Notamacropus eugenii: one gene and its partners. The protein of the gene in region 1 interacts with the protein of each later gene in a pairwise test. Links are inferred from orthologs where the notes say so. Each region holds a gene or a part of one and is shown in the gene's direction. Other genes may lie near its edges.

Region 1 (7,753 bases):
GGCTTCCCCTCTCTGGCTCAGGCTCAGAACTGGCCACAGCACCATGGGTTCACCCAGGTGGACCAGAGCGGACTGCTCTGCTGCACCCTATGGGACCATCCCCGAGACCTGTGTCTGTCCTTAGAAAAAGTGCCCCTTTCCCACCTCCAGTCATGACTCTTCCCCAGGAGGCGGCACAGGATGCAGGACAGGAGGACCTTGTGGCCCTAGATCTATGGCCTGTACTCTGCATCTTCCCTAAAGGACCCACAGGAACTGAGTGAAAAGGGTCAGGGAGAGCCTCTGGGTCACCCCGCAGGGTTCAAGGAAAGGTTTTGGTTGAGCAAGGACTCCTCAGAGGATGCAGATCTGGCCATGGACATCGCTGGTCAGATCAGGAGGGTCTGGCATCAGACAGGGAGTGCCAGGTGACTGCTGATCGCCCAGCAGCCCCAGGACTGGCCCATGGGGGCCACGCACCTGGCCAGTCATCCTGCGCTCTTGGGGAACGAGCCTCCTCGCCAGATGAGCTTCCCGAGAAGTCTTGGGCTTCTGCCCCGGTGTCCTCATCCTCATGGCCAGGCGGCAGGGGGGACTCTGGGGGACAAGCAGTGGCAGCGATGCTAGTCAGCGCCAGGCAGCCAGTGGGGGGACCTGGACAGGGGGAGCTCCCTCAGAACCCCTCAGCGCCCTTCCTCAGGCCCAGTCCAGGCAGAACGCGGGCCCTCCACAACGGGGAGGATCCCTCCAACAAGGCTGATTGCAGCCCTTCCCTCCCCTGACCTTGAGCCCCAGGCTAACACTTCTTCCCTGGGGTGGGAGCTCCCCCCAAGACGCCAGCAGGGGTTCCAGCAGGGGCGCTCACCATTCCTTTCTGGAGAACTGGAGCACCCCTGCACACCTGGAGGGGCGGGTCCACACCGGGAGGTGCCTGGAGACAGAGTGGGAAACTGAGGCAGGGCAGCGAGGGTGGGGCCAGAGGCTGTGGCCTGAGAGTCTGGGGGCTGAGGGGCGGGGAGGGTCCATGGGGACAGGGGATCAGAATGAGGGGTGCCTGGGGTGTCTGCGTCATGACCCTAACTTGACAGGGGAGGAAATAGGAGGGGGTTGGAGTTAGCTCCTGCCCCTGCCCCGCCCGCACTGCCTCAGTTTCCTTCATCCCTGCACAACCCTCGAGGGGCCCCTCCCCATGGAATCGATGAGGTCATGCATCCGTGGAAGACGGGAGCTCTCGGACATCGATTGAGCTTCCCTGGAGCTCCGCGCATGCGCCAGGAGTCCGCGTGTGCGCACGCACCCTCCCCACCCCATGGCTGCCCTCGCACGGACCTGCGCGGCGCGAAGTCGCCCAAACGCGGGCGCGGCCGCGACTCCGCGGAGCCCCGAGTGTGCGCTCGGGAGCGCGGCCGCCGAGGCCCGAATCAGGTGTGGGCCCAGGGTCAGAGTCGGGGTCGGAGCTGGAGCCTGAGTCCGCCTGGCGCTGGCGGAAGTTCCGCGGAGGTCGCTGAGACATAGTCGACAGGTACTGCGCCGGCGCGAGGCCCCGCTGGTTCCGGCTCCCCGCAATCTGAATAAGACACTTTCGGACCGACGCGCCTGCGCAGTGGGCCCGCACGCCATTGGCTCGCGGTCCTTCCTGGCTCCGCCCCACCTGGCTCCGCCCCCCACCAGCTGTTCCAGAGCCCTCCCTGTCCCCGGAATTGAGAGGGAGGAAGGGAGAGAATTTGGAACTCTGTTTTAAAAACAAATGTTAAAAATTGTTTTAACATGTCACTGGGGAAAAATAGAATAATAAAAAGAAAGGTTTTGGTTGTGAGATCACCTCCGTCGCAGCAGCTCAGAAGCGCCCGAACTCCGAGGCAGCGTGCCCGTGCCCCTGCATTCGTGGGCACGGTGGCTCCTTGGGGAAGGCAGGAGGAGGAGGGATCCCTTCCCTTTCACGGAGTCTCTGTGCCATGTGGCAGCGGCGCCCTGACGCCTCCAGCAGGGTCTGCCAGCGCGGGGTCTGCCAGCGCGGGGTCTGCCACGCAGGCTTTTAGGTCTGCTTTTGTGAGAGGGTCTTCTGTGATCACGTACACCAGCGGAGAAATCAAGCAGTGCTCAGCAGACGGAGCCTGGAGAAGTCACAGACTCAGGCATCCTGGAAGTCACGATGGGAAAGAGTTCTTAGGGCACCTGCCTGCAACCTTGGAGGGGTACGGTCAAAGCTTGTGCAGGATATTTTATAGCAAACGTGCCAAATGTGCCAACTAGGTTATTCAGGGCAGGATTAAGCAGTGGTTAAGGAATAGTTAGTTCTTAAAGGAACATGCACTTTTAGGATATACTGTGCAGGCATGTTACCCAAGGGGCAGGCCTACATGGAGGTGTGCTTTTAGGCCTCAACCAGCAGTCAGGGCTGACTGAGAAATACCCGGGCTGCTCCCATCAAGCAAGACAAACATAAGGGAGTAAACACATGTCTGAGTCTAGGATACATGTGATTGATCTTTAGGACCCAGTACACAGCCAGTTCAACCAGTACATAGATGGTTCAAACTAATAAATTGTAGAGGTGCAGCTGGCTGTTGTAGCAGGCAGAGAGATAAGGGTTTGGCTAGGGCGGGCTGTCCTTGGGAGACGGTGTATTGAGGCTAGGGAGAAATGTGATGTTAGGGTTGGGCCGCCCATCGTGACCATTACATACACACATAGTTACCAGAGAGAGAACCATAGGCACCATGTGCTCATGGCCATGTGGCAGCCCCAGACGAGGCAGCCAAGTTATGCCTGCATCTGATGCTGATGGTACCTCTCTCTTGTCCTGCAGATCTATAGCATTTTTTCCTCATCATTCAAAAGCCGATCGGGAGACAGCATTTTTCCTTTTAGTCATGCATTTGATTTCCATGCTCAACAAGTAATTATGATACTTTTAATTAGCCTAAAATTAGTGGACAGGAAATAAAGATTACCACCTAAGTGGAAAGGTAACAGGCTACCCCATATCACACCCTTCTTGAAACATGCTTACCAAAGCTTTTGTGGGTTAGATCATAGGCACAGACTGCTGCCCAAGTTCCAAGAACTGTGCCCCCATGTCAGACATGGCTCTTGTAGGTGGGGGACAGGAGAGAGGAAAAAATAGATAATTCAATCAAGCTCTGACCTTGATTCAAATCTAAGCCCTATGGAGCACTCTCTGAAGGCTGGAGTGTTCCAGGAGGAACTTTTTGGTGGTGTGGAAGGAGGAAAAGACCTGCAGTGTTCACTGGTTGTGCTTCAGTTCAGCAGCAGTCAAGCACCAAGGCTGGGCTGAGGAAAGCCGGACCCTTCCCAGGAATGCTTGAGGGGTTTGCATTCATTGTTCTGGTGTCCAGGCAGAGCCCTGCAGGAGCAATGATGAAACGTGGAGAAGGTGGGCGGAGTGATAATGAACTGAAGAGAACTCTTTCTTATTGGTTTGGAAGGGGGCTGGACTGCCAGGACTCACCAAGGTCACATCAAAGAGCAAACTGAGGGAGGCCAGAGAAATGAACTGACTTGCCCAAGGTCTTTCCCTGCCCTGTGAGAGAGCACCCTTCCCCTTCAGCAGCTTATAGACCAGTACATGGAAGTTAGCAGGGTTGGTCAGGAATCATGAAGAAGGGACATGATCACGTTGCCCCCTCCTCCATGCCCATCACCTTGTGGACACATCAGGGGCTCTCTCACCCTTTGGCTTTGGATGCCCCATTTGGCGTTGGCATTGGATGAGCGGCGCAGGATGAGCCACTGACCCGCATCTACATCATTTTTCTTAGATGCCCTCAGACTCCTTCCTTAGTCTTCCCTCTCCCCCTCTAGTGTCTCCCCAAAGGGCAGCTTGGACCAGTCTTTCTCACTAGATTTCTGTGATTCACGAGATTCCTGCTACCACCACAGTATCAGGGCATCCTATTATGTCTTCTTAACAATGGATAATTATAATTTTTTAGTTTCACAAATAAGACACATTTCATTTATTTTCACTTTATGGTTAATTTTTTCTACAAACAATACAATTTTAAAAACCTATTTATTTTGATGGTTCTAACATTTGTGGAGCGCTATGCCATCCATGTTATCTATCGAGCATTATTAATTCTTAGCCCCAAGGGTCCACGAGGACTGGCTGGGATCTAGAATCTTTGGGATCCACAGGCCTCTAGGGCAAGGAGTCGTGGCTGTAGGACGCCGGGGCTGGCGGGTGGCATGACCTCCGCGTGGCCTCTGAGCTGGTGGACGAACTGCCCCCACTGGGAAGCCACCGACTCAGACTCAAAGGGAGGGCACGTGCAGGGACTTGTGCAGGGAGCAAGTCCGCACCCCTCTCGGCCAGGCCCCGCCCCTATGGCCCCGCCCCCCTCGCTCTCCCAGTCTCCTTGGAAGGTCTCCTTCCTAGACCACGTCCCTCTTCTCTTCAGGCCCCGCCCCTCCTGACCTCATCTTCCGCCTCCACATTCCCATTCCTGGCCCTCCTGCCCCGCCCCTCCGCCCTCCAGGCTCCGTCCTCATCATCCGGGCCCGCCCCCTCGCTCTCCCAGTCTCCTTGGAAGGTTTCATTCCTAGGCCCCGCCCCTCCTGGCCTCGTCTTCAGCCTCCACGGTCCCTTTCCCCCGTCCCCCTCCCCTGTCTCCAGGCTCCGCCCCCGACTTCCATCTGGAGGATCGTCACATGACGTACCGACGGGCGCGGTGACGTGAGATGACGACGCGATGACGTAGGGGCGGGGCCGGGCGGCGCTGACAGGCGGCTCTGACAGGAGCCGCAGCAGCTGCTTAGCTGTGGCTCGTGGCCCGTCAGCCCCTGAGCGCAGTCGGGGCCCCTGGCTCGGGTCCTCGCGGACGGCCGAGGGAGCCGCGGAGGCGGTGGCGGAGGCGGAGCAGGCGGCGGCAGGTGGGGGCGCGCGGGGGGCGCGGGGTGGGGGGGGTCACGCGGAAGCAGGAAGCAGGAAGGAGGCCCCGCTTCCGGTGGAGACTGCCCGGCTGCTACGGGGGCGGCGGCGGGGATCGGGGAGGGGGGCGGCCCGCGCGTGTGGGGGGGGCCCTGCGAAGGGGGGCCGGGGGGGGGGGGGGTCACTCGTCCAGGAATGGTCTGAGGGCGGATTCGAACTCGGGTCCTACTGACTCGGGCTGTGCGCAGGACGCGGGCCCGGCTGACGGCAGCGATCAGGGGTGGGAGGTAGGGGCTCCTGGGATGGGGGGGCGCCGCCCCTCTCCCCCAGTGACCTGGCTGTGATGACCCTCCCCAGACCCCGCCCGCCCTCCCCCAGGCTTTGTGCTGATTGCCGCACTGCGGTCCTCCTGGTCCCCCTGTCAGACCCTCCTCCCCTCCCCCCGTCAGACCCTCCTCCCCTCCCCCAGTCAGACCCTCCTCCCCTCCCCCAGTCAGACCCTCCTCCCCTCCCCCAGTCAGACCCTCCTCCCCTCCCCCCAGTCAGACCCTCCTCCCCTCCCCCCAGTCAGACCCTCCTCCCCTCCCCCCAGTCAGACCCTCCTCCCCTCCCCCCAGTCAGACCCTCCTCCCCTCCCCCCAGTCAGACCCTCCTCCCCTCCCCCCAGTCAGACCCTCCTCCCCTCCCCCAGTCAGACCCTCCTCCCCTCCCCCAGTCAGACCCTCCTCCCCTCCCCCCAGTCAGACCCTCCTCCCCTCCCCCCAGTCAGACCCTCCTCCCCTCCCCCCAGTCAGACCCTCCTCCCCTCCCCCCAGTCAGACCCTCCTCCCCTCCCCCAGTCAGACCCTCCTCCCCTCCCCCCAGTCAGACCCTCCTCCCCTCCCCCCAGTCAGACCCTCCTCCCCTCCCCCCAGTCAGACCCTCCTCCCCTCCCCCCAGTCAGACCCTCCTCCCCTCCCCCCAGTCAGACCCTCCTCCCCTCCCCCCAGTCAGACCCTCCTCCCCTCCCCCCAGTCAGACCCTCCTCCCCTCCCCCCAGTCAGACCCTCCTCCCCTCCCCCCAGTCAGACCCTCCTCCCCTCCCTCCAGTCAGACCCTCCTCCCCTCCCCCAGTCAGACCCTCTTCCCCTCCCCCCTGTCAGACTCATCCCCTCCCCCATCAGACCCTCATCCTCTTCCCTCCCTTTCCTCATCAGACCCTCATTCCCTCCCTTGCACCATTTGGGGAGATGCTCAGGGTCTGCCTGCGAAAACTCTGCCCCGCCCCACTCCAGTCCATTCCCTGCACTCACCCAAGTGATCATCCTTAAGCCTAGGTCGGACCATGGGTCACCCCCCCCAAATTTCAGGGGCTCTTAGTTTTCTTCAATTTCCTATCCAAGATCCTCTCTTCGGCATTAAAAACTCATCCTCCCCTCCCACCACACTGATCCTGAGATCCAGCCCCCTGGCTGTCCCAGGACAAGAGCCTCCATCTCTGGGCTCTGGGCATCCTGTCTGTCTGTCCTTCCCTCCTGCTCCTCCACCTTCCCCAGGAAGCCTCCTCAGCTTTGTCGCCTCTTCCACTAGATTGTGTTCTCTTTGAGCCCACGGACCACGTTGTAGTTACTTAATAAAAATCAATTGGTTGTTCGTTAGTCTTTAATAAAGATTTGGGATTAATTTAAGACATAGTCATGAGTTAACAGTGACCCCTGAATTCTACTTTTCCATTTCCACACCTGCTGTGGTCCTTTGCCTGGGACAGAGTCTGAAAATGTGAATCTCAGAGGTCATAGAAACCTTGGTCACGGTAAAGATAAAGAATGTGGAAATCCAGAATTCTGAAGTTGCCAGCAGGCTTTGGTCATAACATATTCCTGTAAAGGAAATCAACCTCAAATAACAGTCATACCAGAAAGAAGAACTGTGGTTGTAACTTTAATGCCTTTCCCGACAGTCAGCCAAGATTTATGAAAGGCCTGCTGTGGACTGGACAGGGGTTACAGCCCCTTTCCCTCAAAGACCCTTCCCTCCAGTAGCTTACCTTCTTCTAACCCACATAAGCATCTACAACATAAGTCCATGGCTATTTTTTGAGGAGAGAGGTCCAAGCACCTGAGGGGACCAGGGGCAGGCCTTTCATGAGCTGAGACTTAGTGCTTGAACTTGTTTCTGAAGGAAGCTGGGGATTTGGAGAAGGGCCCAGATGAACAGTGAGGGCAGATTGACTGTGAAGGGGAAGGACATAAATCTGTGTGAGCTGTTGGGATACTGGAATTTAGGTAGGAGTCTAGTACAAGTTATTATGTTAAGAAATTGAAATAAACCCCTGTGCTTTTGTGACAAATGAGTGTTAGGGACAAGACGGGGTAGAAGTCACCCTGTTTACCCTGGAAGTTCTAAAGAAAATTTATCCTCTAAGTCAGGGGAGGAGCCTGTGCAGTGCAGTCAGTCACTTGACCCAGAGAAATGTGGTCAGAAATGAGCTTTGAAATGCTTGTGGCCTACAAGTGAGTAGACCCAGCTCAGCAGAGCTTCGTCCAGAACCCTGTTCTTGGTGCTGGCTAGACAGAGTGGGGGCGGGGGCGTGGCCTGGAGGTGACGGGTGAAGGTTCGAGCAGTCTTCCAACAACTACCCTCCAAAAGACATCGTTCCCATTTTATAGGTGAGGACACTGAACCTTGCTCTCAGCCCAGACCCAGCCCCCTCTCCACTACAGTCCATGTTGGTCTCTCTCTGCCTCCCCTCAGCCCTTAGCAGCCCCCAGCGTGGCTGCCACCAGCTTCACTCAGACCTTCCAGTAGCTGCTTCTCAAAATACAGGCAGGCCATTCAAGGATATCAGAGGAGTTGGGGCCACGGGCTCCTCCTCTCTTTGTGTGACAGATACAGGGTGGG
Region 2 (6,913 bases), about 630 Mb from region 1:
AATAAAACCAACAGAAATCATAAGATTATCTTGATAGATGCAGAAAAAGTCTTTGACAAAATACAACACTCATTCCTAGAGAGAGTAGGAATAAATGGAATGTTCTTTAAAATGACAGGGAATATCTGTATCAGCAAGCATTATCTAAAATTGAGATAAGCTAGAATCTTTCTCAATAAGGTCAGCGATGAAGCAATATTATATTATATATAGTATATATTTTATATTATATATAACATTTATTATATTTATTTTTAAATTATGTATTTATCATATTATTATATATAGTATTAATTATATTATATAGTATATATGTTATATACATTATATATGTGTTATACATATTATATATAGTATAGAATATAAAATCATTTATTATTACACTAAGAGAAATTGAAGGAATTAGAATAGGCACTGAGAAAACAAAACTCTAACTTTGAACATAATGTTATACTTAGAGAATCCTAGAGAATCAGCTAAAAAAAAACTAGTTGAAATGATTAACAATTTAGCAAAGTTGCAAGATAAAATAATCATAAACAATGTAAAATACTTGGGAGTCTACCTGCCAAGACAAACCCAGGAACTATATGAACACAATTGTAAAACACTTCACAAAAATAAAGTAAAATCTAAACAATGGGAAAAAAGCAATTGCTTACTGGTAGACCAAGCCAATAAAATAAAATGACAATTCTACCTAAACTAATCTACTTAGGCAGTACTATAACAATAAAACAACTAAAAAATTTTTATAGAGCCAGAAAAAATAATAACAAAAATCATATAAAAGAACAAAAATTTAAGAAGATCAAGGGAATTAATGGAAAAAAAAATGAAGGAAGGTGGCCTCATCATACCACATCTCAAACTGTATTATAAAGTGGTAGTCATCATAACAATTGTGCACTGACTAGGAAATGAGTGATAGATCAGTGGAATTAATTTGGTACATAGTGTGCTCTAATAAATGACCATAGTAATTTAGTGTTTGGTGCACCCAAAGATCCAAACTATTGAGACAAGAGCTCACTATTTGACAAAAATTTCTGGGAAAACTGGAAAATAGCATGACAAAAGCTAGGTATAGACCAAAATTGCATACCATATACTAAGATAAGGTCAAAATAGGTACATGATTTTATTTTTTTATTATTATCATATATTTATTTTTAGTTTTCAACAGACACTTCCACAAGATTTTGAGTTCCAAATTTTCTCCCCATCTCTTCCCTCTGCCCACCCCAAGACAATATGCATTTTGATTACCCCTTCCCCCAATATGCCCTCCCTTCTATCACACCCCTCCCTTCTTTTATCCCCATCCCCTCTATTGTCTTGTAAGGCAATACAGATTTCTCTACTACATTGCCTGTATATCTTATTTCCCAGTTGCATGTAAAAACAATTTTTAACATTTGTTTTTAAAACTTTGAGTTCTAACTTCTCTCCCTCCCTCTCCACGCATTCCCACTGAGAAGGCAAGCAATTCAATATAGGTTATACATGTAAAACACTTCCATAACAGTCATATTGCAAAACACTAATTATATTTCCCTCCATCCTATCCTGCCCCCATTTATTTTATTCTCTTTTTGACCCTATCCCTCCTCAAAATTGTTCACTTCTATTTACTCCTTCTTCCCATTTGCCCTCCCTTCAATAATCCCCCACACCCCTCTTTTCCCCTTTCCACCTACTTTCCTATAGGGCAAGATAGACAAAATAGGTACATGATTTAAACATAAAGGGTGATATCATAAGCTAATTAGGGAAGCATGGAATAGTTTATCTGTCAGATCTTTGGAGAAGAGAAGAATTTATGACCAAACAAGAGATAAAGAACATTACTAGATGTAAAATGGATAATTTTGATTATATTAAAAAATTTTACAAATAAAACCAATGCAACCAAAATTAGAAGCAAAGCAGAAAATGAGAAAATTTTATAGAAAGCATCTCTAATAAAGGCCTAATTTCTCCAATATATAGAGAATAGAGTCAAATTTATAAGAATACAAGCTATTCCCCAATTGATAAATGATCAAAGGATATGAATGGGCAGTTTTCAGATGAAGTAATCAAAGCAATAGTCATGTGAAAAATGTTGTAAATCACTATTGATTAGAGAAATGCAAATTGGAACAACTCTAAGGTAGCACCTCACACCTATCAGATTGGCTAATACAACAGAAACGGAAAATGATAAATGTTGAAGGGGATGTGGGAAAACTGGGACACTAATGTACTCTTGGTAGAATTGAGAACTGATCCAACCATTCTTTTTTTTTTTTTTTTTTTTTTTTTGCGAGGCAATGATGGTTAAGTGACATGCCCAGGGCTACACAACTAAGGAAGTGTCAAGTATCTAAGGCCAAATCTGAACTCGGGTCCTGCTGACTCCAGGGCAGGTGCTCTATCCACTCACTGCACAGCCGGCCTAGCTCCCTTGATCTGACCCTTCTGGAGAACAATTTGGAGTTAGGCCCAAAGGGCTATAAAACCTGTCCATACCCTTTGATTTAGTAATACCCCTGGTAGGTCTATATCCCAAAGACATCCAAAAAAAAAGGGGGGGGGGGGAAGGACCTATTTGTACAAAAATATTTATAGCAGCTCTTTCTGTGGTGGCCAAGAATTGGAAATTGAGGACATGCTCATCCAGAGGGAAATGGCTGAACAAGTTGTAGTATATGATTATAATGGAATATTATTGTGCTGTAAGGAACAATAAGCAGGATGATTTCAGAAAAAGCTAAGAAGACTTACATGAATTGATGCAGTGAAGGGCACAGAAACAAGAGAACTCTGTAAACAGTGACAGCACTATGGTACAATGAACATTCATAAATAACTTACTATTCTCAGAAATACAACAATCCAAAGCAATCCCAAAGGACTCATGATGAAAAATGTTATCCACCTCCAGAGAAAGAACTTATGGGATCTCAATATGGATTGAAACATACTATATTTCACTTTTTCCTCTTCTTTCATTTTTTTGTTTGTTTACTTCCACAAAATGACTAATATGGGAGTATTTTACATGACTGCACGTATACAACCTATATCAGATTGCTTATTGTCTATCCAAAGGAGAAAAGGAGGGAGGGAAGGATAAAATTTGGAACTCAAAATTTTGAAAATGGTAAAAAAAAATATTTTTGCATGTAATTGGGGAAAATAAAATATTATTTTTAAAAATAATAAAGAAAACTTAGGCCTTGAAAAGGGTGACTACATGAGTCCAAACTGAAATTGTGAAGTGGATGAAATTTGTTTTTGCTCTACTTCTGTTTCTTTAGGATTCTGATCGGGTTAGCTAACAACCAAGAAATTTGAGTTAAATGAAATGTCACGACTCACATACATCTTAAGTATGTTACTTGTATTCCTACTGTAACGTACTTGCATTTGAACTGAGTGCTTCACGCCTTAATCCACAGGACCATTGATGGGAATGCCCTAGATTTTGGCACGCCAGTGGATTTGACTCCCTTAGGCAATTTCTGTCATTCCCAGGGTCAACTAACCATCCAGGAGGATAACCTTCTTCTGTATCATTATCAAGATGAAGAAAAGGGGAAGCCTAGGGGATGATGATGACCTCGATTTGGCCGAGATTCAAATACTAGCACCGTCCCTTGCTACCTGTGCGATAGGTCATTTACTCGGAGCCCCGGTTTCTCTATCTGTGAAGTGTGAAGTGGTCCCAGTCCTACATGACCTCCAAAGTTCCTGATCTCTCACTCTGGTTCCTATAATCCTAAGTGCTACCTTCTCTCCAGCCTAGGGCCCCTTCCTTCCGTGCAACATGAGATGGATAGGGGTGGAGGGAAGGTGGAGTATCGGGAATTGGGGGGTTAATTCCCGGACAGGCATCAGCTGACCCCCGATCGCGACGCAAAAAGCACAAATGAAGTCGACTCCCCCTCCAGCCTCCCCCACCCCCTTTCCCCAAAAGGAAGGGCTCAGCCCAGTACTGAGCGAGACCGATCCGCGGGTAGGGAGGCCGGCCCGCCTGCAGAGGGGCAGCACCGACCCCTCCGGTCCCTCCCTCCGCGAGCCCCAGCCAGTCTCCAGCTGCCGCCGCCCCCGATCGGGCAGGCAGTCCCAGGGCCGGCAGGGGAGGCCGCCACGCTCCCAGCCGCAGCCCCTCGGCTCCGCCTGCTCTCCGGCTCCGCCATGGCCCGGCCGATTGAGGTGGGCGGCAGGGACGGCGCAGGGCCACGAGAGGATGCGTTGGGAGAGGAGGAGCAATACGAGGCTTGGTCCGGGACTAGGAATCCGGTGCGGATCCGCGTAGCCATCCAGGCGGCAGAAGAGGAGGGGGAGGAAGAGGCTGGGGCCGCGATGGGGGGCAGCGGGGAAGGGGAAGACGACGGGGACGCGGCTCGCTATCTCAGCCCGGGGTGGGGCAGTGCCAGCGAGGATGAGCCTAGCCGCGGTCACAGGTACGAGCGTAGGAAAGGCCTGGACAGGGGAACGGGGTGCTTTGGGATGGAGGAGGTGAAGGGCGCGGGCGGGCTGGAGGAGTGCATGGGGGACAGCGCAGGACCGGACAGGCAGCCCGGCTGTTCTGCACGAGGGCTCAGACTCTCGGCTCGCCAGCTTCCCCGGGGCGGGGGGGCACCCAGATCCGCGCTTGCTGGGCGGCACACACGCAGCCAGCACCCACCACATCCCGGCCCCTTCCCCGCAGCACGGCAGGAGGGGCCCGTAGAAGTCCGGAGGGCCTCATCCTCGATCTACACCATCCTGATCTCCTAGTCTTTGGGGTTTCTCTTCCAGAGAGTGCAGTCAGGACTTCTGCATCCCTGCCTCCCCCAGGCTCGCCACCGGAGGTGGAGAGCTTAGGGAGCTGTTGATGTCCTGTAAGCCAGGGCTGCCCAAAACTCCGAATCAATCATTTGGGCTGGGTCAGTCATGCCCATGGAAAAGGACACTGATGTACTAGTCTCAGCGGTTACTCACTGTCTAGCCGTCTACACCCAAATCCGCTTTTGGGGAGGGGGGATAAGAGCTAAGCCCCCCAGTGCAGATAACGTGGTAAAAGAATATAGCTACCCACCCTCCTCCCCCCATTATGGTCTATGTAATCCAAACTGCCTCCTTGCGGGGAGTGTTTCTGTCTTTCACTGTCTCTGTCTGTCTGTCTCTGTCTCTCTCTGCCCCCTCTTTCTCTCTGTCTCTGTCTGTCTCTCTCTCTCTTTCTCCCCCCTTTGTCTCTGTCTCTCTTCCCCCCACCCCAGAGTGAATAATGAGAGATTTGTACATTTGCAAGTGGCATAAAGGTAGACTCACCGAAAGATTATTTCATGGCCTCAGCTCTCTATTGGCAAAGTTCTGTCACTTCTAGGATCCTCCAAGCTGTAGTGTTCAACTGCCTTAACAACCTATACAAGTCAAGCGATCAGTTCAGCACATTATCCCTTATGATATAAATTGAATTGGTTTTACTCATTCTGCCCCTAGAGGAACATTGGATGGGGTTCTAGTACCAGTTTGGCCACTGATTAGCTGTAATATCTTGGCCAAATGACTTCCTTTCTCAAGGCTTCAGTTTCCTCATTCATAAAGTGAAGGAACTGAAGGCTCGATGATGTCTAGGGTGTCTTTCAGCTTTGATTTTTTTCTCAAACCTGCTGACAAGTATCTTAATTCTAGTTGTAGAGATAGCATAAAACTCAAGAAGTCTTTTTTGTTTTTTGCATAAACCTGCCCTGTCCCATCAGTTCATACCCATCTAGTGCCTGCCATTGGTGTCCTAGCCATCTGAGTTCTGTGTTTCATAATACTGTTAGACTGGTTTAGTATTCAAAGGGTGGGACTCATGGTATCAAGACACTGACTTTCCTGTGTTTGCTCTAGGAGGCTTCTGTGTTTCAGTTCCTGAGCCTTAATCATTATTCAGGGGTCATGACTTCAAGGACCCCACAGGCCATCAAGTCCAGCCCCAAAGGGAAGAATAATCCCCTGTATACCATAGACACCAAGTGATCTTCAGCATTTTGCTTGAACACTTCCCACTGCTTCTAAGACAGTCCATTCGACTTTGGGGTAACTCAGATCGTGATGTCTTTTCTCCTATTATCAAGCCCAAACTGGCCTCTTTCCAAGTTCCCACTGTTGCTCCCAGTTCTACTCTCTGGGTCCCAGGAAAATGAATGTAATTATTCTTTTTCTGCATGAGAGCTATCATATTGTCCCTAAGTCTTTTCTTATACAGGCTAAATACTCTGGTTCTTTTAACTGGTCCTCATAAGGTGAACATGAGGCAGATAACCATTTAGTGTCCTCTGGGTGCTCTCCGCCTCTTCCTAAAACATGGCGCCCAGAGTGTAACCAGGATGTCTAATCAGGACAGGGTACAGTGGGACTGTCATCTTCCTAGCCACAGACATTATGCCCCTCAGTGTTGTCTGGAATGACTTTAGCTTGTTTGGCTGCCATGTCACAGTATTCACAAAATCACAGAATTTCAGAATTGAGTGACCCACCTTAGTGGCCACCCAGTTCAGCTCAGACCTGAAAAGGAATCCTCTCTACAACATTCATGACATGGAATCATACAAATTTTGCTTGAAAACCACTGAATGTCACAGTAGGAAGAGTGAAGAATTTGTAAACAGAGGAGCCAAGTTCATATCCCTATGTTGCTACATATTGCCAGTATGAACCTGGATAAATCACTTAACCACTCTGGACTCATTTTCCATGTCTGTAAAATGAGGGGGTTGACTTGAATGACCTCAGAGGTTCCTTCCAGATCAAAATCTATGATCTTAATGAGATTACCCATTACTCTCTGGACAGCCCTTCCATTTTAGAAAGCTTAAGAAGATTTTGCTTATATCAAGCATAAATTTTCCTCTTTGAAACATCCATCCATTACTCTTAGTTCTGCATTCTG
Region 3 (7,311 bases), about 89 Mb from region 1:
TTCAGGGCCAGACTCTTTATTTGCTCTCTAAGCAACATCAGGCAAGGTTCATGCATATCTTGCTTTGAACATGTCCTCATTTGGTGAACCAGAGGACATCTTTCTACTTTGTTTTTCCTTTTTCCTTAATTTTGTGAAAAGCAGGAGCTTTAGTGAGGGATGTATTTTGGAACATATGGCAGTAGGAATTTTATAATAGGAAGAAACATATGAGGAACCTACAGAACATGATCCTTGTTTTCTCAGAACTCTCCTGGAAATGTTTGTAGCCCTCTTATGCACTTTCCAAATTTCAAGCCCCTCATCCTCCTAGCTCTGATGTATTGTTTTTTGGTTACTGTTGGAAATAGATATCCAGCCTACTTCAGTTTTCCTCAGCTTCTGGTCCATTTCTGGGCAGACCCTCCCCCTTAGCAAGAAGATAGGAATGGTGGCCCCTGGTCTTGGCGCTCGTTGTAAAGTTAGAAGCCCTGGATAGGGAGTCAGATGGTGCCTGTCACTAACTGTGATGGAGCAAGTCCCCCCCTCCTTATCCACAAAATGAGCAGGTTTGGTTCAAGAGATCTCAAAGACCCTTTCCAGCTATGTTCATGGTCCTAATTCTGGAGAGCAGGCAGATAGCAGGCTCCAAAATCTGCTGCAAGACTGTAAATGGTGGGAAGTGCGCAGCCCTGGAGTCAGAGGCACCGAGTTCGAATCCTGCCCATGCCACTGGTGACCCAAGTCACTTCATTTATCTGTCACTCCACCGTTCCCTCCTCGGTTGGACTAGAACGAATTCTTCATCTCGGCGGGGAAGGAGGCGGTCTGCCCTTGCCTGGTGTCATGGACCCCTGGGGGAATTTCAGAATAATATTGGTAAATGAATAAAATACGTGGGATTACCAAAAAGCCAACTCTACTGAAATGCAATCATGTAAAAAATCTTTTAAGACGTCACGTTCCCCAGAGTAAGAGTTCCTGCTAGGTCCGCGGATTCCCTTCTACGTCAGGGAGTCTCGACAGACACGTTATTAGGGATGAGCTGAAGAAGCAGGGGCGGGAGGATGCTCGCGGGGAGCGCAGGGACGTGGCCGCTGGGGCTGCGCCCGCACGCGCGGCCCTCCCGCCTGCAGGGGGCGTGTCGCGGGGGCTGAGCGGGGCGGAGACTGAAGAAGCCTCCTTCCGCTCCCTGGAGCGCCGAAGCGCGGCCGAGCTGCTCGGAGCTCGGCTACCTGGTCTGGACGCCTCCTCTGAGCATCACTTCCGCCCTGACGCGGGCCTCCCTGAGTCTCGTCAAGGAAAGAGAAGCGCCCGGGGAGGCAGCCGCGCAGGCGCCGCCCGATTCTAACTGTCTGGGTTGGGGTCGCGGGGGTCCTGGGGCTGCCAGTCACTGCCCCGGGTCCCCGCCTCACACCGGGGACTCCTGAGCCGTTTCCCTTTCTTCTTTCACGAGGATGTATATTCTTTTGTCTCCCACAGAATGGACGGGCTACGTCCCCAGCCGCAGCCCCTTCCCCATTTGTCCACCCTTGTCTGATCAGCAGACCTGGCCCTTTGCCCGTCCCAATCCTCAGGCCGCGATGCTGGCCCCGTGAATTTAACTTATTCTTACTCGTGAACCCCTCCTCCATCCCCCCCCCCCCCCCCCCCCCGCATTGGGTGGCTGAGCATGCCCAGTCCGATCTGAAATCCAGTTATCCGGGTTTTACTCCACGGCCGGGGAGCGGAGCAGTACCTGTACTTCTAGCCTGGGAGAAGAAAGGGGGAGGGAGGGGTGTGTGTGTGTGTGTGTGTGTGTGTGTGTGTGTGTGTGTGTGTGTGTGTGTGTGTGTGTGTGTGTGTGTGTGTGTGTGTGTGTGTGTGTGTGTGTGTGTGTGTGTGTGTGTGTGTGTGTGTGTGTGTGTGTGTGTGTGTGTGTGTGTGTGTGTGGTGGGGGTGGAGAAGAAAGGGGGAGGGAGGGGTGTGTCTGTGTGTGTCTGTGTGTGTCTGTGTGTGTCTGTGTGTGTCTGTGTTGTGGGGGTGTCAAGTTTCCCTCACCTTGGTAGGGACTCCTCCTTTGTACCCACAGTCCAAGAGTTTTCAGGGTCAGGCTCTTTATTTGCTCCCTAAGCCCTATCAGGCAAGGTTCATCCCTGGCACTGCAGGCAGAACCTGAGAGGATGCAGGGTGGTGGTTGGTGGTGGTGGAGAACGGCATTAGACTGATAGGGGTGCCCTGTTGGAAGGAACCCGACAGAGATCGCAGAGGTTTGTTGACAAATTTTGATTGCTAACTGCATCGCTAGATCTCGCGTACTAGCTGTGTGACTTGGGGCAAGTAACCTCCATGCCTTAGTTTCCTCATCTGTAAAATGGCGATAAACCTTCCAGGATTGTTGTGTGGACACGTTCAGCGCTTTGCAAACCTTAAAATGCGTGTATGTATGTGTGTATATGCATACGTGCTATTACTCTGGTGTCATGGATAGAGCACTGGTTCTAGATTTAAGAAGACCTGAGTTCCAGTGCAACCTTAGACACAAGTGGTGTGACCCTGGGCAAAGCACTTAACTTCAGATTCTTCATCTGTAAACTGGGGATAATAATAGAACCTACATCCCCAGATTGTTGTGAGGATCAAATGAGATATTTTAAAAGTACTTTGTAAGAGCTAAATATCTATACCATAGATTTTGACCATACCATTTTACTTAGTACTCACATCCCAGAATTTTCTTTCAGCGGTTGCTGATATTTTTTGACTATGCAATTAAGAGGACAACAATGGACGGCTTACTAACATTTTCACGCTCCCCTTGCTCCTTTATTTGAGGGGTGTCATTTCTTTCCAGCTTCCACTACTTTTGTTTCTGAAACCAAGGAACTACATTGCTCTAAGTATCACCTGCTGGAGCACATTCACCAGTTAAGAAGCTCGATCCACCTTTACTCTAGTTTTTTGCTTTGTTGTTATTTTGGGTCTCCGTGTTCTTCCTAGGATGAAGTGTGTAACCATTAAAAAGATATGAACCTTTTCTGGGTCTCTGGGTTGTCAATCCAGTCATTTATGAAGCTCCTACAATGTGCCATCACTGTGCTAAGAGCTGGGGAATACAAAGAGTCAACGCCGTGCCTGTTCTGCTCTCAAGGAGTTGTCTCTCTTAATGGGGGAGATGATGCAAATTACTATGTACTCGCAAGATGCACACAGTGTAAATAGAAGGTAATCTCGGAATGAACGAGCAAATGCCGTTCACGTTAGAATAGATGACCTCTAAGGTCCCTTCTGACTCCTCCGATGTGCCCTTGTGTCCAAGAATGACCAATTAAACTGCACAAGTTGGCATCCTCAAAGGGAAGGAAAGGGCGAGTGCAACACGCATACCTGCCCTATCCCTCCCGGGAGAGCTTAGGGACCTGTCTCCTTTGGAGGTTGGCTGTACAGTGCCTATTCTATTTTAGGCATTCACCCGACACCTCTCTGGGTAACTAAGTCTGCGCCTCACCCCCCCGCGGTGCTTCTGATACGAAAAGAACCCCAGACCTCGAAAGGTGAAGCACGTTCTTTCATGTGACCCCATCTCACAACTCTGAGAGTGCTTTCCCCTGGCTCAGCTGGTGTCCCTCAGCCACCCCTCCTCGCAGTGTGACACTACTACCCTCGCTCCTTCCCCTCCTCTCCAGTGCCAGGGCTGAACTCCGAGCGCGGCCAATCTCCCTACTTCTTGAATCCCTCCCCCCCCCCCATCCCTCCAGGCCCTTCGCGGTTGAAGGGAAAACCTGGAGCCGGAGGAGGTTGGGGGCGGGGGAGGGGGAGGTGGCAGCCGCTAGAGACTGCGAGCCGCTGTCCCCGCTGCTGAGCATGCTCAGTAGCGAGGCAGGTTCCACTGAAGTAGGAAGCTTGAGCTTTACACCGGCGGCGGTGGTGGCGGCGGCGGTAGCACCTCGGGGCGGCCGGGTTCCTTTAGAACCACAAAATCGGGCTGTTCCCGTCCTCCTCTCCTGCTCTGTCCTCCCCGTCTCCTGGGACCCCCCGGGCAGCCTAGCCGCCGTAGCGGAGGGAAGGGGCGCCGGAGACGTCTCACTGCACGCCCCCCCTCCTCGGGGCTCCGCTGCAGGGCCAGGCCGGGCCGGGCGGGCCAGGCCCGGGGTAGGCGCCCAAGGGGACCCTGGGGGCGGCTCCGCGCTGAGACAGGGCCAGCGGCGGCAGCGGCAGCGGCGGCGGGGGTGGGGGGGAGAGCGCCGGCTCCGGCCCCGGCCCCGGCCCGGGGGAGGCGGTGCGGGATGCCGCCGCCGCCGCCTCCTGGCCCGGGCTCGGCTTGGTCCCTGGTCCTGTGTAAGTGGCCGCGCCGGGCCCCCGCTCGCCTTGCCCTCCGCAGGGGCCGGGTGTGAGAGCTCGGCCTCCTCCTCCTCCTCCTTGTCCTCGTCCTCCCCGCCCCCTGGCGCCCCGCTCGGCCGCCGCCGCCCCCCGGAGGAGCCCCCGGGGCACCATGCAGGCGCTGCAGCTGCAGTACGAGTTCTTCAGCGAGGAGAACGCGCCCAAGTGGAGGGGGCTGCTGGTGACGGCCCTGAAAAAGGTGAGGTGGGGGCGCGGGCCGGGGGAGGGGCGGGCTGGGCTCCGGCATCCCGCGGACGGCTTGCCCGGTTTCTCGGGGCGGTGTCGGTGCGGGCACTGCTCGCACGGCGACTGCGGGAGGCTGTTTGTAGCGGCCACCCACCGAAAAGCTTAGTGCCTAGCCCCCTATCCTCCTCCCCTTTTCTTCTGAGTATGTCGAGGTATGCAGAAGAGTGTCTAAAAATGATCCCCTGCTGCCTTTTCATTCTCTCCATCCCTCCATTCAGTAAGCCGTGAAGAGGCAAGTGAAAGGCAGCCCTGTCCTCAAGGAGCTTTTCCTCTCCTTTGTATATTAGGAACTAAGGTCAGCTTCTTGCCCTAGGTGCCCAGGGCCCCTGCGTGAGCACTGTGGAAAACTGCCCACATTCATCTGCAGGCTCCCTGAGGGAAGGGACTGACTTTGCCTTTGTGTGTATCCCCCGTGCCCAGCGGAGTGTGGCACCAAGGAGTCGCTTAAGAAATGTTGTTGATTTGACTTTTGACCATCTTGTTTGCCCTAAGTAATTACGCTGCTTGCCTTCGGTTAGCTACGGGATTAGATCTTTTTGGCTTTGTTTTTAGTAATCGCTTGCCACCATCCAGAATTGCCCCACCCCCCCATGCTCCATTTAGTAAGGCTATGCGAAAATAGTACTATTTGATTTATCAGTTATTACATTGGAAGGCTAAGGTTTTTGCTATTCGAATTTTGGCTTGATAATCAGAATTTTCAGAATTATCATCTCTTTGCAATCTGTAGCTGCAAACTTTTAAAAACAACATTGTGTACCAAAAGGACATTAAGACATCTGAAATTGGAATCCTTTAAAGAATGTGTACTTGTGTGACTTCTGAAGTAATAATTTGTTGTTTCTTTTCTAGTCGTCATTTCTGTTGTGCTGCATTTAGAAGTTACTTTGTCTTTTCCTATTTTTTGTTAACTTTTTTAAAACATGTTTTAAAATCCCTGTTACCATATTGTTCAACACTGAAGCTTAACAAAGTAACTCTGTGTTTAGTGATTTGTTCTTAAGATACATTTTACTTTTTGTTACTCTAGTCTAGAGAATTGAATTTAGAGAACAGTTACTCTTTGTATGCTTATTACTAGATTATTATATCTTCTTAATATGTCTTGAAAGGTATAGAAAGGTTTTCATTCTCACTCCCTTTTTCCTTGTATTTCCTTGTATTTTTGTATAACTTTTCACTTACTTTTTTCTTACAATGTTATTAAGTTCAGACTTCAGTGAACTGTTTTTTCTAAAAAAATCTAAGTTTTAGAAGCAAATGGAAAATCAAATTGCAGAAGTACCTTCATTATGTGCAAATCAGTATTCTTGCAACTTAAAGTACATAGAACCCAGGAAGCAAGAAAAATTTTCTGAGTCGCTAAAAAGATGTTACAAAGCTGGTAAATTTCACTCAAGATAATGCATTAGATCCTCACTTAGTTCTCCCTTTACTCTTATTTCATGCATGATTCTGCATTTAAGTGTGGAAGGAACTTGTGTCACTAAGGCATCCAAGCAGGCACTGATAGCTTCATAGTGAGAAAGAAGGGAGAAAAACTGTAAAAAGTAAACAAAACTCAAGCTTAGCTGTCTGGAGCCATTAGGAGCAAATAGCCTTACACACCTCAACAACCCCCAGGGGCATTACTGTATTACCACATGACCCATCATTAAAGTAATGATGATACTGAGTCACTAAGAAAAGGTTCAATTATGTTTAGTATCTTACCTTGGGGAGAGTAGAGTGCATCCCCGTGACTGTAGTGCCAGAGCAGGGATAAGGGTCCTCCTCCCCTCTCCTGCTTCTATACTTTAGGTCTTACTATCAAGCAGCTTGGTGGGGGATAGTCTCTTTTAATGTCCCCATTAACTAAAAACATTCTTCAATAGACTCATTTTAAGGAGGCAAGGAAGTACGTTATAACTTTGAGAAAGATTTGGCCCTCAAATGGGGTAAGTTTCATTTATCTGGAAAATTAACATGTGTGGAACAGTTCATTTCCTGATGCTGGATAGATGAGGTGTTACTATACTATACTTGTATGTGAGAGAAGAGATCAAGTAGGTCACAATTTGTGACCTATTGCCCTGACTAGCTCAGATGTTATTTAAAAAACAAACTATTATCTTGAAATTGATACTACCTCAAGGGAGGAGAATTTAGAGAATGTCTTTTGAATGTTGCTTTTGTGTTTCTTTTGTAACTCAGATTCCTTGTTGTTAATTTTAAAAATCCACCATCTAACACAAATCTTTAGTTTATTAGGAAATAGTCTACCTAACTACACATTTAAAAAAATAAAGTTGATGTCTTCTGTTTCTTACATCATTATCCTTATCCCAAGTATCTCTCTTGCTGTTCCTCTCAGAGAGCCATCTCATATGACAAACAGCATTGGGGGAGGGGGGGAAGGGAAGACAAGAATCAGTACAACTGATAAAAGTCCAAAAACATATACAATATATAACACTTTTATAATTCCTACCTCCCTGAAGGGATGGGCTGGGGATGTCCCCTCATATCTCTTCTTTCCAGTCCTTCTTGATCTTTGATTTTGTTACATTCACTTCATATATGTGTATATATATGTATGTATGTATACACACATATTGGTGTGTAGTTCTTTCTATTTACATTGTTATAGTTACTGTGTATATTGTTTTCTTGGTTCTGCTTACTTCTGGGTCAGTTCATGAAGATCTTTGCCTGTTTTTCTCTATTCATCACATACATTTCTTACAG
Region 4 (7,404 bases), on another chromosome or scaffold:
GTGGGCAGGGACAATTATTTTTTTTTCTACTCTAATTGAATATATTTTGTAGGGGAGATTGACACATCAACCATGTACTTGGTAAGGAACAGAATTGACATTTCTTTATAATTATTATTATTATTATTAATGTAACAAGGGTCTGGCCAATGAGCCTAATCCCTACACGCATGTGCACAGTGCTGTTGATGCAAATACCCAAATGAAAGAGATTTAGGAGCCTGCTTCTGAGAGAATCGTGATGATGGTAATAGAGAAACTCTGGAACCTTCATAGACATTCTATAACTGGGTCTGGTCTACTTACCATGTGTTATTGATCAGCAGCCTCTCTGATTGGCTTCAGCTGCAGAGGGGTGTGTGTGTGTGTGTGTGTGTGTGTGTGTGTGTGTGTGTGTGTGTGTGTGTGTGTGTGTGTGTGTGTTGGCTTCAGCTGCAGAGGGGTATGTGTGTGTCTGTGTGTGTGTTCGTCCTTGTGTGAATGTGTGTGTGTGTGTGTTTGTCCTTCATTGCTGAAGAAGACCATGCCATCAGAAAAATAATGACATGATTTGCACTTGACTTTGTTTTGAGTGAGGGAGGTCTGTGCACGTCACCAGCCTCACTTCTCCTTCAGAGCCATCTGAATCCAGTGACCAAATATTCATCAGGATGACAGGAGATGACCCAGGAGGAGGCAATTGGGGTTGTGTCTTGCCCACTCACAGTTAGTGAGTGTCAAGTGTCTGAGGTAAGATTTGAATTCAGGTCCTCCTGACTCCTGCACTGGTGCTCTGTCCACTGCACCACCCTATACTAATCAGATCAGAGAACGTTCCTTTCTTCGCAGGAACTTTGCATCTATGTTGTTTTAGTATTTGGGCAAAAGTGCGAAATTCAAAACCAGTCAGAAAGTTTCAAAATGGTCAAATGTCTGAATCTGGAAAAAAGTAGGCAAATGAATGATTGAATTCTTGGAGATGTTTTTGCCCTGGGTAGCTACAGATTTTACTTAAAGGTTATTTTGCCATGTGTTTAACTACTTTGGACATTTATGAATAGCTTTAAAACTGAATGTGTTCCCCTGATCAGTGACAAGTAGTTGGAAATGGAGCCATCCTTCCTTGGCAACATCAATAGATACTTCTGAAGAGGAATCTTTTCTGGACCCAGAGCCTTCAGAAGATTTTTGGCTGTCTAAGACCTACCAAAAAGTTCCAAAATATAATAAGATGTCTTCTATTTTCCCCTTTTAATCATTTTTATGAAGGAGGAATCTAGGGATCTAAAGAAAGAATCTAGGCTTATGAGATCTTCAGCAGTCAGCTTTCCAATTCCTTGTGATTTCAACTAACGTGGTTAGAACCTAATGAATACCTCCTTTACACTCTCTTTTGCAATTCCTAATCATTTGGTAGCTGTACCTAACTTCCTTCACCAATTCTCACTAAATGAAACTCCCTCTATCTATGTGGGTTGGCACATTATCTGCAATTTATAGTCCTAGAGGGTTGCCTGGAGGATTGAGTCAAAGTGGAATTTGTTTTTGTGTGGAAGTCCTCAGAAAATATCCTAATAAAATCATGGACATTTCGTTATTATGGCTTTTGACAATAAAACAGAAAAGCAGCAGAAATGATGAATTTCATTGTCATGAGTATTTTACATCTAAGTTTTTTTCACATTTAACTTAATTTAGGAATATTTGGAAAAATGATTGAGGTAACATACTTAACAAATATGTATTATATAAAAACTGGATGAAGGGTTGAGCTTGCATTTACTATTTTGCAATATTTTGAGAGCTCACTGAAGAAAAAACTCAAAATATTTCAGTATGAGTATAGGTTGATTGCTTGCATTCAAATCCATGATCAAAATGAGAGAGTGACAATAATGAAAAATAAATAGAATCATCTATAATATACTTGAATAATAAACTAAACACATACCTTGATTCCCTTCAAGCTAGATTGAAGGGGAAGGCATTCAAAAGGGCTCTCTTTCTCTCCTGGCTGGAGGACGTCTGGTAAGAGACAATGCCTAGAGGACAGAGGCTTCAGGCCACCTTCTTGTCTCAAGCCAACATGTGGCTCCATAGAAGATAGATAAGGCATTTATTAAGTGCTTACTGTATGCCAGACACTGTGCTAAGCACAGGGAATAAGCAATACAAGCAAATCGTAATAAAAATAAGAGAATCCCTGCCTTCCTGGAGTTTACAACCCAAGGGGAGAAGACAGCACATAAAAGAAGTTGCAAAAGGGAGTGAGGAGGAGAGGAAAGGATCCAGAAGGCATCCAAAGAGTCATGAGCTGAGCCAGGTTTGGAGTAAATGCAGCTGATGCAGGTGCTTCTCAAATATAGGTTTGGGAATGATGTCATCACAGGGACAGGGGTGGGAGGAAGGGGAGGAAGGGAGCTGAGCGGGGAGAAGAAACTAGCATGAAGCCAGCCACTAGAGTAGAGGTCCAGAGGCAGTGCGGGGAGTGATGGCTTTGTGAAGGGAATTATGATTTTTATAATAATCAACATAATATTTGTAAGGAAAATACTACTAGATTAGTTTTCTAAAGAATATCCTCTCTTGTGAGAGAGCTCACAATGCAGCTTAAAATGATGAGTCCAACTTCGGCAAGGCTCACAATTACTGGGATCTTTGTGCCTGCTTTCCTGAAGTGAAACGAATCAAAGCCCATCATAGAACCAAGTAATGACCCCCAAGGACTTGAGCTGTATTGCTCCCATAAGACTCCAGAATTGTTGTATTGTCTTCCATTTCTGGGTTTGTCGTGGGAAACTGCTCAAGTCTAGGAAAACATTGTAATCTGCCTTCTTTCCCTCCTTTCCCACTTGTGATTTATGCATGTAATCTCTGTTTTCACTTCAGCAAGGTGGAATTCTGATCAGGAAAATTCCCAGTTTTCAAATCTGTTTCTCATAATGAAACTAATTAATGGCCATTTGATTACTGGCACTTTGTGGTCTGCTGTTTGTTCATTCTCAGGTTAGAGACTGGTTCAGTAAAATCCTGTTAACTAACAGCCAGAACCAGGTTTTGGAGTAATCAAAACAGGAGTCTGGGAGTAAGTGAAAACAGGGTTGGGTTCTTTGCTGTCATCATTGTTCTTTCGTTTTGGTGAAGGAAATTGGAGACTGTGACCTTATCAATACCAGAATGTCAGGAGAACTGCTGGAGTGCAGGGTTTTGATGACCTGATGATGAGAGGAACTCATCCAGAATCACTGCCATATTTGCACATGAACTTGGTGGGACCAATACTACGTAGAACGCATATTAAACTTAAGCCTACTGTCTCCAGAGACTGAGACATTATCCCGAAGGATGTGCCTCCACAGTGTTGGATGGAAATGTTTGTATGTTTGTTCTTGCTACATCTTCTATGTTAATATCCTTTTGTAAAAGCTAATTGATATTAATTGGTTAAGTGGAACTAGAGGTGACTAATAGAAGGGGCACTTATTACAGTGTCTGGTACAGAATATTTAATAAAGATGCTGATTGGCCAACTGGGGGGAACGCATTGAAAATGGCAACTTACACTATTAGCAGTAAAGAAGACACCTTCAGTCCCTCAGGGGTACCCCTAGAACCTAGAACCTAGAGCCTACCTTGGTCTTCAAGAGTGAGCCCAGAGCACGTTCAGTACATGAATAATACTGAACAATTGTAGAGTGTCTTTCAGTGTGCTTTCAAGTTTATTATCTGACTTGATCCTTAACAATCCCATGAGGTAGAGAAGGCAGAGATTATTACCCCTATTTACAGAGGAGGAAACTGAGGCTCATCAGAGTTTAATGAGATGAGACAAAGGAAGTTCTCCTGACTTGTAATTCCTAGTTCTTTTTACTATAATAACCACTGCCTTGTATGGACTTTCTTTCCTTTGGTGTCTCTCTCTCTCTGTCTCTCTCTCTCTCCGTAATTGTAGAACTGCTGGATTTCATCTCCTCAGAGCTCTGTGGAATGTATGGAATGTCCCTCCTTATCTGCTACAACCTGGAGAAGACCCTGACACTTGCACAGGAGGGTCTGAGAAGTCTCCCCACTGCCAGGGCTTGGCAGGATCCTTGACCAAAGTAGATTCCACGACCTACTGAGGAAGGCCGAGTTGCAGGAGAGCTTTAGGAACAGCTCGGAGAAACTCGTTTTGACTTTTCTCCCAGTGCCTCCACAGCCCGCTAGCCCCCAGGTTAACTGGGGAGGAAAGCGCAGCTGTCTAGACCTCTTGGGGGAGCGCTAAGCCTTTTGAACCCGAGAAAAGGAAGAAAGACCAGAGAGTGCTAGGGAAGCTGCCCACTGCTCTCACCTGCCCCGGGGCAAGAGGGCGGCGAGAGGAAGGAGGAGGAGGAGCCAGCAGTGGGCCGGGCTGGGGTAGGGAGACAAAGTGAAACTCCTGAAAGTAGCTCAAAGCGTGGAAGGCCTGGCCCAGGGAGGGGCATTTGGCGGTTTCCCCTACCGCTCCCTGCCTCCTGAGGCCGGGCCAGCTGGGCGGCCGCCAGCGGTTTCCTCCTAGGGGAGCGGGCGGGGGCAGATCCCGAGCCTGGACAGCGTGGGGGCTCCGATCCCGGCGCTCGGGCTGGGTGGCTGGCAGCACCCGGGGAGGCTGCGGCGCTCCTCGCGGCCCTCTCCCGGCCCATGAGGACAGCTCCCCATGGCTCTGAGCAAAGGGCTGCGGCTGCTCCGGAGGTTCGATGTCTCCGGGGAGAGCAGCACCCTGCTGGAGGCCCGCAGCCGCCCGGACTGCCTGCTCTTCGAGGCCGGCACGGTGGCCACGCTCAGTAAGTGCTCTCCTTCCTTCCCCCGATCCGGGGCGCGGACCTTCCTGGGCCGGGCTGGCACGTCCTGGAGAGCCGGGCAGCGCACGGGCAGCGCCCCTGGGGGAGGGAGATCGCTGCCCGGGATGGGGGAACAGAGGCACTGCCCGAAAGCTCGCCCTGGGGCTGCTTGTCCAGGGTCTGCGGTACGGGGCAGCGTGGTGCCCAGGGCAGCCTAGCCTCGTGCCGGGTGGACACTCCGGGAGTGGACTTCTCTTTAAAAACCCAAGAATGAAGAGGCTTGGAGCAGCTTGCGGTGTATGAGTGGGAGGGAGCTGGGGCTGTAGTGTGGATTCCAGCGCCCTTCCAAGTCAGCTTTAGAGCCCCTCGGCTCAGACCTTCTCTACAGTGACTTCTCCCCATGCTGCCTCTGCCCAGCCTGGGTTTGGGTTTGCCTGCTGGGCTGGAGGGATCCTCTGTGGGTTACGGGAGGAGGCGGTGGGGGGCATCACCAACGCCCCAGCAAGGCGAGCGCAAGCCTTTTTTGTCTTACTTTGGTGCCGGAAACCAGGAAATACTAACTATGATCTGAAAGATTTGGCCTCTATAAAGATTGGGCTGCTGTGCCAACTCCGCGTGTGTGTTTGTATGTATGCATGTATGTGTGTGTGTGTGTATCTCCCTACACCTGTTTTTGGAACAAATGATTACAGTAGGAAATATTGTGAGCCGCTTGGGTAATAGGTACATTGGTACATGGGTAATAGGTACATTATGGAAGCCTTGCTGCTTCAGGTCAACAAAATACATGGTGAAGAAAACTCAGCACACTCGAGTACAGAGTTTGGCTGGCTGTAAGGACCAGCACTAGATCCTTGCCAATACAATGGGTACATTTCTGAGTTCTTGGTGGCATCGAACTTGACCTTGATCTCTAAATACTGTGATAAGTACACATTTTTTTCAGGTAAAACCACCCCGGTTGAGTTTGCCACTAGCATCTGTGTGAAGGATTCAAGCAGTAAGTACTTCTAAGTGTTCTAAATTAGTCAGGAGTGTGGGACTTTTTAAAAACTAATTTTTTTCCAAGTGTAGATAAAGCCAGAGATTCCACTTTACAAGCTTGCTGAATTTGTGAGCTTGTGCATATATAATTGGTTAAACAATGAGTGGAGAGAAAATGCCATGTTTCCTATATTTTCTTGAAATTTGTGTGGCATGCTAATTTCATTGCATGCATTGGTAGATGGTTGTGTAAACATTTTTAGTATATAAACAGTTTGATAGGTGTATGAGCTATCTGTCCAACTAAACTGTAAACTTTTTAAAGGTACCATTTCTTTAGTTAATCTTTTCCTCCCCAAAAATGTCATTAAAAATGCAGTACCTTTTTTCTGAGATTTTTTTTTGTATGCACAAGTTTTTGTTTCTTTTATTCTTTTATATTCAATTGGTTCACCTCTATGAAATGCAAGCTCCTTGTGGGCAAGGGCTGTTTTTTCTATGCTTTTTTTTTTAATCTTCCTGTTACCTAGGACAGTGCTTTTCACATGATAGGTACTTAATAAATCTTTGTTAAATTGAGAGCTTTATGTAAAGTTCCTTATCTCAGTTCTAATCTGATAACTTCCATGTTCCTCTATGGAAGCCCAAACTGAGCTATTTGGTAGTATCTCAAAAGAGAAAAGAGATAGACATTTCCATTCCAAGTTTGATTCCCATGAACATTTTAGATGATTATTTGTTTTTTTGCTCATTTACCTAAACCCAGAGTAGGATTGCATAAAGTGACTTTTGAAAACATATACAAATTTGTATTTCCACTTAAAGTGTTAAGATATGCTTTTGAGAGAATGGGAGGAGGTGGTTTTACAGCAGTTAAAATATTCAGATAAACATCAACAACTTAAGATTTCATTATTTCAAATGTGAATAGCTCAGTTATGAATTGAAGCAACAGAAGGCACATTTTTCATTATGAAATTAATTTTGCGATTATGCCTTCCCAAGGTGTTTTTATATCAGTAAGCCAGATACCAGAATATTTCTTATGATAAAGAAATTGTCATATCAATCTAACCACGTCATTTTTTTTTTTTAGTCTTTCAAATTTGTCGCTTAACCTAGCATTGTGTGGTTTTGTTTTTCCCTGGAATTCTTAGGCTGGTATTTATGGTACACTGTTATCTTTATTTTTCTTAAATGAAATTGAGTTAACCTGTAGCATTTAATTGGTAGTACTAGCTTCAAAAAAGTCATTTCTTCATACTTCTCTGCTAAAGCTAGGAGCAGTCTTTTCCTAGAGAAGTAGTCTGTATGATCCTTTGAAAAATCAATAAAGTATAAGTTGATTAGACACAACAATGTTTGAAAAAATGATTTCTTCCCACTAAAAGTGTCCATTCATACAGCTTATGGGTTGAGTTTTCTTTGAGTTTTCCTCTCAGCAAAGCTAGAATGGTTCCATTTTTATTTTTTAATTTTCTTATATAAACAAAACTCTTTTTTTCTCTCTCACCTCCTCATTGGGGTTATTACCCTTGTAATGATAGGCATACTCAAGCAAAACAAAGTCCCATATAATTCTTTGATTTAAAAAAACAGCATTGAGTTAGAAGATTGTTCTGGAAGAATTTTTGCCACTGCC

The links.
Region 2: the proteins of ITSN2 (region 1) and LARP6 interact in a two-hybrid assay, tested with the Homo sapiens proteins (2 studies listed by BioGRID, with this or other methods). The link is inferred for Notamacropus eugenii from reciprocal best matches to the Homo sapiens genes ITSN2 and LARP6.
Region 3: the proteins of ITSN2 (region 1) and SOS1 interact in a two-hybrid assay, tested with the Homo sapiens proteins (2 studies listed by BioGRID and IntAct). The link is inferred for Notamacropus eugenii from reciprocal best matches to the Homo sapiens genes ITSN2 and SOS1.
Region 4: the proteins of ITSN2 (region 1) and SYNJ2 interact in a two-hybrid assay, tested with the Homo sapiens proteins (2 studies listed by BioGRID and IntAct). The link is inferred for Notamacropus eugenii from reciprocal best matches to the Homo sapiens genes ITSN2 and SYNJ2.

Annotation. Positions count from the first base shown.
Region 1 is NC_092872.1:761,640,442-761,648,194, reverse strand, and holds the start of ITSN2 (intersectin-2), read left to right. Parts: upstream 1-4,744; 5' UTR 4,745-4,875; intron 4,876-7,753. Other genes in the region: intron Large complex component GCFC2, read right to left, coding at 460-576, 845-910, 1,309-1,492.
Region 2 is NC_092872.1:134,940,549-134,947,461, reverse strand, and holds the start of LARP6 (la-related protein 6), read left to right. Parts: upstream 1-3,910; 5' UTR 3,911-4,185; coding exon 4,186-4,454; intron 4,455-6,913. UniProt on the Homo sapiens protein: Regulates the coordinated translation of type I collagen alpha-1 and alpha-2 mRNAs, CO1A1 and CO1A2. Stabilizes mRNAs through high-affinity binding of a stem-loop structure in their 5' UTR.
Region 3 is NC_092872.1:672,340,731-672,348,041, forward strand, and holds the start of SOS1 (son of sevenless homolog 1), read left to right. Parts: upstream 1-4,311; 5' UTR 4,312-4,450; coding exon 4,451-4,537; intron 4,538-7,311.
Region 4 is NC_092873.1:251,614,091-251,621,494, forward strand, and holds the start of SYNJ2 (synaptojanin-2), read left to right. Parts: upstream 1-4,388; 5' UTR 4,389-4,654; coding exon 4,655-4,781; intron 4,782-7,404. UniProt on the Homo sapiens protein: Inositol 5-phosphatase which may be involved in distinct membrane trafficking and signal transduction pathways. May mediate the inhibitory effect of Rac1 on endocytosis.